Linked DNA regions of Oreochromis niloticus. The protein of the gene in region 1 purifies or fractionates together with the protein of each later gene. This does not show direct contact. Links are inferred from orthologs where the notes say so. Each region holds a gene or a part of one and is shown in the gene's direction. Other genes may lie near its edges.

What was found.
Region 2: the proteins of daxx (region 1) and DNA (cytosine-5)-methyltransferase 1 purify together in Homo sapiens (affinity purification with western blotting; 4 studies listed by BioGRID, with this or other methods). This does not show direct contact. The link is inferred for Oreochromis niloticus from reciprocal best matches to the Homo sapiens genes DAXX and DNMT1.
Region 3: the proteins of daxx (region 1) and map3k5 purify together in Homo sapiens (affinity purification with western blotting; 7 studies listed by BioGRID and IntAct, with this or other methods). This does not show direct contact. The link is inferred for Oreochromis niloticus from reciprocal best matches to the Homo sapiens genes DAXX and MAP3K5.

The regions. Positions count from the first base shown.
Region 1 is NC_031985.2:8,773,071-8,776,822, forward strand, and holds the start of daxx (death domain-associated protein 6), read left to right. Parts: upstream 1-727; 5' UTR 728-1,064; intron 1,065-1,470; exon of another isoform or gene 1,471-1,492; intron 1,493-2,592; 5' UTR 2,593-2,608; coding exon 2,609-2,851; intron 2,852-3,752. UniProt on the Homo sapiens protein: Transcription corepressor known to repress transcriptional potential of several sumoylated transcription factors. Down-regulates basal and activated transcription.
Region 2 is NC_031969.2:24,060,107-24,063,858, reverse strand, and holds the start of DNA (cytosine-5)-methyltransferase 1, read left to right. Parts: upstream 1-1,128; 5' UTR 1,129-1,266; coding exon 1,267-1,313; intron 1,314-1,729; coding exon 1,730-1,766; intron 1,767-2,239; coding exon 2,240-2,347; intron 2,348-2,449; coding exon 2,450-2,693; intron 2,694-2,799; coding exon 2,800-2,872; intron 2,873-2,968; coding exon 2,969-3,050; intron 3,051-3,157; coding exon 3,158-3,198; intron 3,199-3,276; coding exon 3,277-3,331; intron 3,332-3,417; coding exon 3,418-3,501; intron 3,502-3,590; coding exon 3,591-3,700; intron 3,701-3,752. UniProt on the Homo sapiens protein: Methylates CpG residues. Preferentially methylates hemimethylated DNA. Associates with DNA replication sites in S phase maintaining the methylation pattern in the newly synthesized strand, that is essential for epigenetic inheritance.
Region 3 is NC_031980.2:17,209,634-17,213,385, forward strand, and holds the start of map3k5 (mitogen-activated protein kinase kinase kinase 5), read left to right. Parts: upstream 1-1,521; 5' UTR 1,522-2,084; coding exon 2,085-2,520; intron 2,521-3,752. UniProt on the Homo sapiens protein: Serine/threonine kinase which acts as an essential component of the MAP kinase signal transduction pathway. Plays an important role in the cascades of cellular responses evoked by changes in the environment.

The DNA.
Region 1 (3,752 bases):
TTGTAACTTGGTGACTGTGGAGGCCATTCGTGTACAGTGAACTTATCCTCATGTACAAGAAACCAGTTTGCAATGTTTTGAGCTTTATGACATAGTGCATAAGTCTGCTGGAACCAGCCATTTAAAAATGGCTACACTGGTAACAAAGGGATGGAAATGGTTAGCAACAATACTCAGGGAGCCGATGGTGTCTAAACAATACTTTGTAACAAGGGGCCCGAGGTTCATCAGGAAAATTATACCCCATCACCAGCCCGAACTGTAGACAGACAGGATGATCCATACTTTGATGCTGTTGACCCTAAATTCTGATCCTCCCATCTGAATGTTACAGCACAAATCATGACTTGTCAGAGCAGAAAACGTTTTTCCAATATTCTGCTGTGTAGTTTGGTAAAGTAGTGTGGTAAAATCCAAGCAGATCAGCATTTTCTAAAATATTCAGAGTCAGACTGGCCCCCTACCAGTCTACCCCCTACCACGTTGAAAGTAGCTTAAACCATCTTTCTTCCCCATTCTGAATCTCACATTGAACTTAAACACAAAATAACAGTAAATCTGATAAAAGTTCAAAATATAAAAGTACTAAATGTAAAACAAAGAAGCTTTATAAAGTCAATTAAGTACATTCAAAGAAATAATAAAAATAATAGTAGAACGGTACATGTCAGCAGCTGTCCAATGGGAAATGGCATTACTCATCGTCACGAATCTGTCGTCCAATCAGAGGCGTTGATGTTGAGCGGAGTTTAGCGGGTACATTTTCGATCTCGATTCGATAGCACAGCTAAGTGAAGGGGCATTGTTTTGATGAAGAAGATCCAGTCTGATAAAAACGAACGAGATTAGAGGTTATCTCGGGTTTGTTTACCCGGTTCGCGAGGCGATGAGAGCGTAACTCGACTTTTTTTCTGGCAGGTTATTTTTTTACTTAGAAAAGTCCGAATGCTAACTAGCCTCCAGAGCTAACGTCAGCTAACTAACTGGAGTGTTGTGATGTCCTGCGGCGGTGCAACGTTTTCTAGTTTCGTTGTTAACTCCAGCAGCTCGTAGAGAACAGGTCGGTGTGTATCCTACTGTCTCATTATTACGGTGTGCGTGGGCGTGCTTTATTTAACCTTCTGTCTTAAGTTTTCCACCTGTAATGTGCTGTCTGTGTCATCGTGATTAGTTTCACTTTCATGTGTTTGGAAACTGCTATCCCCTGTTTGTTTTCCTATTTTCCGAGTAAACACAGCGAAACGATAACGCTGATCAGCCGGCTTCTGTAGCCCTAAATGAAGCATCAAATTCACAAGCTCGATGCTTCTGTGTTAAGGCTCTAATATGGACGCAGGAGTCTGCCTTCCAGTTATTGAAGTTTAACTGGTGATAGAAAATGGTGGCATGTAAATCACAGGTTCACACATCCTCAGATGAATTGTCTAGGCAACGGGACATTGTTGAAAGCAGTCAACTGACATGACTTTGGAGACTTCTGAGGGCCACAAAGGTATTTTGGCAGTCATTCCAGAAATCCATTACCCAGCTTGGGAATTTGAGTGATCATGCCCCTGTTTCAGGAAGCTATTTGCTCAGATTAAACTGTTTTTAAAAAAAAAATCCCAATATGAGGGATCCTCAGTCAGAGCTGATTTAAACAACGTAAGACTTTGATAACATGCCATGAACCTAACCAGGGGCCTCTTCTATGAAGCAGGATTTGGGGCATAGTGAGGGGACTTCAGGTTAACCCCAGTTTTTAAACCTTTCAAAGGTGCTTCATCTATTATCAGGTAACTATGCTGATCCACAGTAGGTTTTGTTAAAGAAGAGTAGCATACATATAGAAAACCAGTACCTACTGACCATCATTCTGATGTTCTGGTGAGCATCAGTAAAAAATATGGATTTTTATACGCAGCTTTATTCCTGCTTTTTCCCTTTTCACTGCAAGCAATGTTTAAATTATTTCATTCCTTTATACGTGGGTGCAGCTGAAACTGTCTCACACACATCTGCACACTATAGTGTTGATTTTACAAACTAAAAAATTGTAATTATACTTCAGATCCTCCCGTGTCTTTATGGTGGAGCTGTGAAAGTGACAACTTTGTTAATGCGCACAAATGCATGTGTTCAGCTTTCGTTCCTGACTTTAAATTGACTTTTTTGATATTGGACTTTTCCACACATTAATGTAGCACTTTTGAAACATTTCCTCGTACAGAAACACAGTAATTCTATCTGTGGCAGCTGTGGTGCGTTCAGCCTTACTGTGTGTTACTCTTCATTTTGTGTTCTGACATCATAATTTGTAAAGGGAGTCACTCTGCAGTCATTAGACTTGTCTTTGTTTCAGATCTTTCATGTGAATATGACCTGAAACTGGTTCTCTTTGAAACCAGATAAAAATATCCTGGGTTTGTTGAACCCGGTTCACAGTGCAGGTCCCTGCTTTGGTATTTAAATGATCAGAAGTGCCCACATGGCCAGAATCTGTCACTTTTTTCTTTGTGCCAATGTAAATATCGTACAGATCTTGAAAACACTGAAGTTCTGATGCTTGTGTGTCATTCTGTTCTGGTCTCATTCTGCCTGTTTGTATTTTAGAAAGCCGGCGTTTTGGATGGCGGTGGCTCCTGCCTGGATGGCAGACAAAATCATTGTGCTTGATGAGGAAGACAAAGAAGAAGAGAGTCCTCAGCCCTCCTCCTCTGCCTCCAAATCAAGCCCTGACCTTCAAGCCAAAAATGTCTCGCCGCTCAAAGCTCAGCAGCCAGTGCCCACACACATTACCCAGTCACCCTTCGCTACAGCGAAGAAGACCACGCAGTGTCTGCAGGCAGAGAATCAGAAGTTGTTCACTGAGGTGAGTTTATATGATGTTCCAAAGTTCATGTTAAACATGACCAGAACTTAAAATAATGACATTTATGCAGAAGTATTTCATGTGTATCGGACTTCAGACTTCTCTAAATGCTCAGTTTTCTGTCTGGGTGACATTGACTTAAAATCTTATCTGTGTGTTTCTAGGCTAATTGTTGAAACATGATATATTTAAATGTTGACTTTTAAATCAAATTAACAAGTGAGATGATCCATGTTTCCCAAATAATACTGTGGGAAACTCAGTGGTGTCATCAGTTAGTTCCTCATTGAGCAGATCAACTGCACTCTTCTAGACTGCAGCTGGTGGTCTTTACCACACCTGTAGGGGAAACACAGGAAGGTCCACAGCTCGCTTGTCACCAGTAACACAGCTTTAAAAATAAGAGGGGATTGTATTGTGGTGAATGTGTTATATGTTGTCTCATAGTGATTCAGTAAATGCAAATTCCTGAGTACAGTCTAGTTTTGCAGAACATCGTTCCATGGAGTTTATCCCAGCATGAGGTGAAGTGCATCCTACAGCTCTCCTCCACTGGGTGCAAAACAACTTTATTAAAACAGTCATTTAAAAAAACATGTTTAGTATTTGAAAGTTGATAAGACCATTTTTGTATATTTCATTTTGATATATAAAAAAACAACAACTATAATAAAATAACAATAAAATAATGAAGAAGAAAAAACTATAATAAAAATAATGTTCAATTATTATTATTTTTTTAATTTGGCTTGTATGACAGTCTCGTTAATAGTGACAGGTTTTTTGTGTTTGTTTAAGAAATGAACTGATGGGGTGGGTGAGGTTGCTTTAGTTGGAGAGTGTACTGTGAGAGGATATAAACGCTAGCATTAAATATGTATGTAATATTAAACTTTAGATC
Region 2 (3,752 bases), on another chromosome or scaffold:
ATGCTTGGGGTGAGGGGGGAGGCTGACTTATAGAGGCCTTGGGAGTTTGGGCCTGTTTCCTGTCAGACATCCAGGATTCCTGGGTGGGAACGCTGGCTGAATCAGCCCCAGGAGGCTGTGCTGCTGGGATGTCTGCCAAGTCTTTCCAGAGCACTGCAGGATATTACATCAGATTCAGAAACCTGTATGTGAAGTTGTGTACACATAAAGCACAGCCCATGTAAGCTCATTGCTGTAGAACAGCACGAAGTTTGAAGTACTTCACAATTTCGACTAAAGGAAAAGTGAACAAAAACCCTGCCTATTTCTAAACATTATTCAACTGTGCAGTGATTGTACACACAGCTAAACACTGACCAATTAATATAATAACAGAATAAACACGTGTCAATAAAAACTAGTGGTAAAAGCGAGCAGGGTGGGTTTCCATGTGTAACCGTACAAGAACAAACTGACCGCCTGAGATTAATCTTCTGCCAATGACACAGTGCCACCTTGTGGTGGAATAGGCGCGTAGCTGGTTACAGTTGAAGGACCTTGTCTCCTTATTTATTTGCTCATAATGACATTGCAGTCGCCCAAATCAAAATAGCTACATAAAGGACAAACATCTTAAGGCAATCATGACCTCAGGCATAGATAGTACAGTCACACTGGAAGCGATCCACAGTGGATTATCAACAACTGTTATCCTACAATAATACAACAGCTACATTGTGCTTCACATTTACAACGCCATTCAGTCAATGTTTTTTCAATTGTATTGTTTGTTTGTTTTTGTTTTACCAAAAAGTAGTAATACATCAGATGCAGATGTCTTGCTACGATAGCTCATTAGTAAACAACAACTTCCGCCTGGTCAGTCCACTTCGACATCTATCAAACAGTAAGGGTGGATCGAGTTAATTGTGCATTTCTAGATAAAGTATTTCTTTATAAAATAGACTAAAAATTCCGTTTTTCTTTTACTAATAATATTTATGAGATAAACGTGTAATTCCGGTCACAAACGATACGTACATCAAGGATGTATTAAGTCCATCATCGAAACTGTTTTACCTGTACATAGCTAGAGTGGTACAGTCCACAACACCCGGGTTTCCGCGCGAAAAGACGGCCCGCGCGCCCGAATTGCTTATAGCATCCATCTGCACACGACAGACTGTCACCGTGGAGCCGCGCGGTGGTTAATGATAGTGGAGTTTTAAACGGTGTTTTAACGGTTTTAAAACATTTTTAGTCGCTCGTGTCTTACGCTCGTTTACGATGCCAACCAGGACGTCCCTGCCTCTCCCGGACGATGTCAGGAAAAGGTACTGTAATGAATGCTAATAGTGTTCTACTGATGTAGCTAGCTTGCAGCTTTTATTTCAAAAGCCATAACAGTGGCGGTTAAAGCTGAAATGGCAGTCCTGGTGGGTTAGACTTTCTCTGGTTGTCCTGAGCGTTACTGGCGGTTTCCCTTTTACCTGTGCAAACAGATGTTGCTAACATTAGCTTTTTGCCATTGACAGGGCTGATGCGGTATGCACTATTAGCCAGTTAGCATCATTAGCCTGCCAATGGATGGGACAGCGTGTGAGATTTGGCGCCACTCAGGAAGTTTTGTTATCTGTGTTTCTGCTTTCCCGCTGTCAGTGTTTTATTGCTGCAGTATAGTAAAGGAAGCGCTCCCACACGATTCGCTCTGACTTACCCCAGCACTGTTTTGATTCTTCTTTGTTTACAGCTTGCAGAGGTTGGATGAGGAAGGATCTGCAGAAGAGGTGAGTTGTGGACTCAAAACATGCTTATCTAGTAGTTCTGAAACGGAAGTTTAGTGTGGAAGAACTAACTGTTTAGTATTTTAGTTGGTTTCTATACTGTCACCTCAAAGGGAAGTTCCTTGCTCAATCCACATTGCACTCCCCTTATATCATAAATAATTATGAATAAAATGAACGAGGATCAGCTTTAGTCTTCTTTTTTGTGCCATTTTCTATTTGAGCAGTTTCTGGTGGACAGCATAAGGAAACTGACACCAGTGGTGCGAAGTCAACAGGAATCAAAGTTAAATATGTAATAGTTTCCAGGTTGCATATTGTGTCATTAAGTAATGGAATCCAGTTTAAGACAGTTGTGTTCTTTTAGTTTTGTGTATTTATCCTTGTGCGTGTGAGTGCATAAGTTGTGCCTTATTTTTTTTTTTTCTTTTGACATTATTCATTAACTCTTATTCTCTTTTAAAATGTCACTCCAGGAACATGTGAAAGAGAAGCTCAAGTTGGTGCAGGACTTTCTGCATGCTGATGCTCAGGATCAGCTGACCAGTCTGGAGGAAAAAATGAAAAGTTCAGAGATCTCAAAGGTCAGTCAGTTGTAAGTTGTCCAAATTGATATTAATCCTAAAACCGTACTTCACTTTCTGTCATCTAACTTGTGACATATGTCATGTGCCTTTTTTTTAAAGGAGGTCTATATCTCTAAAGTGAAGGCCCTACTTGGAAAAGAACTTCATCTTGAAAATGGCTCCCACGTTGATGACGCAGAGAAGAATGGAAAGACGAATGGCTTTTCAAATGGTTCGCACAAAGACGAGCATGATGAAGATGTAACCATGAGCGTACAGGAGGAGGAGGAGGAATCTTTCAAGTCACCAACTGCTTCGAAGGGGAAGGGTGGACGGAGGAGCAAGGCAAATTCTGACACAAAAAGTATGTTTAAAATCTCTTAAGATGGAGATCACCTGCACATTCAGTGTCTTTCTCCAGTTATTTAAGCAAAGGTAATTTTTAAAAGAATTTTTTTTTCCTTTTGTAGAGTCTCCAGCAAGTACCAGGGTTACCAGAAACAGTGGGAAACAGCCAACCATCTTGTCAATGTTCACTAAAGTGTGCGTATAATAATATATACTTAATTCATTTATGTATTTGGGCCTAAAACAAAACTCTTCCATCACTTTAACCTGCTTGAAATAAATGTCTTTCAGTCAGAAGCGCAAGTCAGAGGACTTGAATGGAGAAGCTGTCAACGGACAGAATGAACCGAAGAAAGATGATGACGTTGAGGAGGTATCGTAATTTTATGTACAAGTAATGTAAAAAACATAAATAGAAGCTGCAGTTTCTCAGTGTCTGATAAATAACTCTCCACATAATTTCAAATTTGTTTTTTGTAGTCTCGGGAGGAGAAGCGTCTCAAAGTGGAGTCGGATGAAAAGTAAGTATCTTTGTCTTCAGAGCACCAATTGTGATATAGCTTATAAAAGCAAATGGGCTGACACTTTTCTTTATGCAGTGCTGCTCCAGAAGAATCCAAGAGTGACATTGCAAAGCCGGTTTCTGCTGTAAAGGTAGTGATTTGGATTGGTGAACTGTAAACATTTTTGGAGGCATTACTGCTTCGTGCTGACTGGATTGTGTTTTTGTTACTGTTCAGACGCCACCACCCAAATGTCAAGACTGTAGACAATACCTAGATGATTCTGACCTGAAGTTTTTTCAAGGGGATCCTGATAATGCGGTGAGAAAACTTGCCACACATAAACTGTAGTTTTGTTTGTTTTAAATTATAAAAAAAAAAAAACCAAACCCATAATTTCTGTGTTTCAGCTGGATGAGCCTGAAATGTTAACAGATGAGCGCCTCTCACTGTTTGACTCCAATGAGGATGGATTTGAGAGCTATGAGGATCTGCCACAGCACAAGATCACAAACTTCAGGTGAGTGATTCTCCATCTTTATAAAGGTTTTGTTCCTGTGAGGTAACATACA
Region 3 (3,752 bases), on another chromosome or scaffold:
GAGCACAATGGCAAAAAAAAAAAAAGGATTCACCGTGGCTCTTTCCCCTTATCTTCTTTTACTTTTCGTAACAGCACTGAATATTTCCAATGGGAGCCTTTTTCATGTCTGCCTTCACTCCTCTAATAACATCATTGTCATTGTGCTACATTAGCCCCTTCTCCAGTGATAAAATGTTAAAATCATTAAAGCTCAGTGATTTAAGACTCGTCTCACCTTGAAATAGCCCTGCAGGAAATTCATGTCTTCAAATAAAGTGTAGACGAATTTCCCCCGAGATAAGAATGCTCTTTCCTTATTTAAAAGCAATGGCTATGTTTTGTGTATTTGTTAACCCTTTGTCACATACATATAAATACTGTATGTTCATATTTGTACCTCATGTTCTGACAAACAAGTTTTGTTTGGGGTCATCGTTGATTTCAGCATCTTATTCAACTTCTTTCAGCTACTTCATTCTGGAGTTACCACAGTTATCATCTCCCTCCATTTCACCCTATTTTGTCACACCAACCCTGTCCCAGGTATTCAAAATCATCCTCCTTCACCTTACCTCACATCTTGACTGCTACACGTCTCCCTCTCATTCACACACATGTAATCTGTCTTGCTTCTCCTGATTTTCATTCCTCTTCTCCTCAAAACATACCTCCAACTCTCTAGGCTCTCTTCCACCTACTCCTTACTCTCACTACAGGTTGTTATGTTCTCTGCAGACATCATAGTCCACAGAGACTCCTGCTGACTTCATCTGTCAATATAACATAAGTCTTTGTTGACTAATTTACTACAGAGAAAATAAAGCACTTTCTCTTTCTAGAGGTCATAAATATCTGCTATGTATTTGTTAATAAAGGACAAAAGTATTTTATGGCACAAGTATAAAATGCAGGCTATTCATACTTTACCCGCATGTACTGTAATATCAAGTGCCTACCACAAGAGGGCCTCCTTGAAACATAAATGGATGACACTTCCACGTCTGAACAGCAGACCACCTACCCGGATAGCTTTATTGTAAACTAATTCAATCACTACTAATAATAGTCACTTCTAGCGTTTGTCCAGAGGATTTACAAAGTCACATGGTCATGTGCTCAGACTTTTACCTGTTTCACAACCACTTTGTCACCGTGGGGCCTAATCCATGCGGGTCAGAAGATTAATGGGCAAAACCGATGCAATTAGTTTGCAGGATTATGAAATACTTCCAACTCACAGCTCCGACAAAACAATGTAGTCATTATGGAGATTGATGTCCTAAAGGGGTGTTTTTGTTCTGGATTGCGATCTCTAATTTCCCGCATTTTCATCATTTTCGGGAAAAAGCTGATAAATAAATCACCTATTCATTTTTACCTTCGCTCCAGATGACAGGTTATTGACTCACAGAGACGTTTGGGCGGTTTTGTTTGGGGGTTGTTTTCAAAGGGACTCCTCCCTTTCTGAAGTACACAACTCCACATATGGTCATCGTGTCCCCGCCCCACTACCCCAGGCTCCGAGTATCGTCTCTCCGCCCAGTGCGTGAGTCTGGCCTGGAAGATAACAGTGGAAACTGGGCAGGGTTTGTCTACACATGAAGGCACCCTGACTGCGTGCGTGGTGTGCTTTCTCTTTTCAGCGCTGAGAAGCCGTTGTGCTGATCGGAGGATTTAAAGTGAGCTTAAGTTGGACTCGGTGTGACATTTGTGGATCTCGTGGGCGTTGCTGCACTAACAGTGGCTGTGTTGCTCAACTTTGAGAAGTATGTGAATTTCTTGCGACGGCTGAGACGGAATGCGCGGATTTGGTGGCTTTTCCTCCTGTGTTTTCTCTTCGGATATCGTCGTGACTTCGGTCCGCCTGCAGCCCCCATTCGCGTGTTTTGTAAGCGTGCAATCAACGGCAGTCATGCAGCATGATGTGGAGCTGCACCTCTGCTCCTAACAGACTGTTTACCTGTGTGGAAGGAGCAGAGTTGCACGTCGTGCCTTTGCAGAGGCTCCATGGGTAACCGCCGTGCGTAACGCTGGCTCTCCATGGAGGACTGGTGGAGAAGCCACTCATCGAAATCCCCACTTTAAAAAGACACTTGAAGAAAGATGAATCAAGACCAGGACGGGATCTCTTTAGCGGTACCTTCCTTTGGTGCTTGCCCCGGCAGAGAGAACCTCAGCGGGGAAAATACAAGCGTCAACAGCAGTGGTGGTGGTGGTGTTGGTGGTGCCTGTGGAATCCCCGCAGCTGGGACTTTTTGGCATGATTCGGGGACTGGAGGTGGGGGACTTAGCCCGATCTCCGGGAGCTGCCCCTTGGACACCGGAGGGTTGCTGTCCACCGGAAAGTCTTGCAAAAGCAGGCCGGTAACAGTGGCCTATGTGGTGAACGGAGAGGCCAGCCAACAGAATAATCATGAGAGCATGGCCCTGCAGTGTCTGAAGGACGCTTGCGATTCTGTGGGCAGCAAGCTAGAGACAGTGAACTTTGGTAAACTGGATTTCGGGGAGACCGCCGTGCTGGACAGGTTCTACAACGCAGGTGAGTCAAGTGAAGAAAGGCTTATAAATCCCACATCCACCCACAACAAGCTTCCCAAACCGCCCTCAGCAAGTGAGAAGACAAACATTTATAAAAGTGATTACTACGATTATGACCTCCTAGATGAGGTCATTTTTAGCCTTAACGGCAGCCTGTTGGGATTTTAGATCAATCCTCTAAATTGATTTTTAGGCTTAATCTTTGCTCTCCATTATAATGATTAAGCCGCAGTGGACCTCACTAAAGGTCAGTGACCCATGAATGCCATTTACTTCATGAAAGAGTAGCACAAGAACCTCTCCCCTAAATTATTTTCAGGGGCTCGAAAGTAGCGTTTACTGCATCACCACTGTTGTTGGAAACTATGCCTGCAGGACAGGTTGCTCTGGGCTCCCTAAATACATCTCACTGCTCTGCATGTCATGGCTTGATGTTGCTTCCTTTAGATCACAGTGGTATGTACACTTCACTGAACAAAGCTGGAACTCATTGAACAACAGTTGCTGAGAAGTTGTATCATTTGCTCCACTAATGTGGGGATTATTGCTAGAGTTCCCCCTCCTATGGCTAGTTTCCCCTCTTCCATTGTGGGGTTCGGCATTGTGCTTCAGTGTCACGGTTTGAGCCATGAGCCTGGTCTTTCCACTGGAATCTGCTAACAGAGAAGCAAACTTGAATCCCTTGATTGAAAGCACTTTCCACCTCTAATTCATGTTGTATATGTAGCAGTTGGCTCCAAATACTACTGGAAAGGTTTGGTTAAGCCATGAAAAACTCTTCAACTATAATGCACATGACTGGTCAGAGTGTTTGAGAGCCAGAAACAGCAGCCAGTGTTTGCATTTCATTAAGATTGTATCAGTACGTGTTCAGCAGATATTGTAAATATAAAACAGTGTGACACGTCAAAGCCTTTCAAAGAGTGGCGTCTCTGCAAATGATGCTAACTTTATTTTGGGGGTTTTTTGTTTGTTTTTGAGGGGGGTTACTTGCAAACTCTGGTAGCCTAAAGACACAATCATTGCTTCCCTCATTATTAATATTGTAAAAAGAGTTTACCTGACAGGAGCTATAAAAGAATCAACATGTATAAAAGTCAATATGCAGGATGCATTTTTTTTCCTTATTATAAAAGACCTAGAAAATTCCTTTAAAAAAAATCTGTTTTATTAATGGTAAATGTATCAGTGTTAACAGTAACAAAACTAAGATTAAGTCAATAGGGGGAAAAA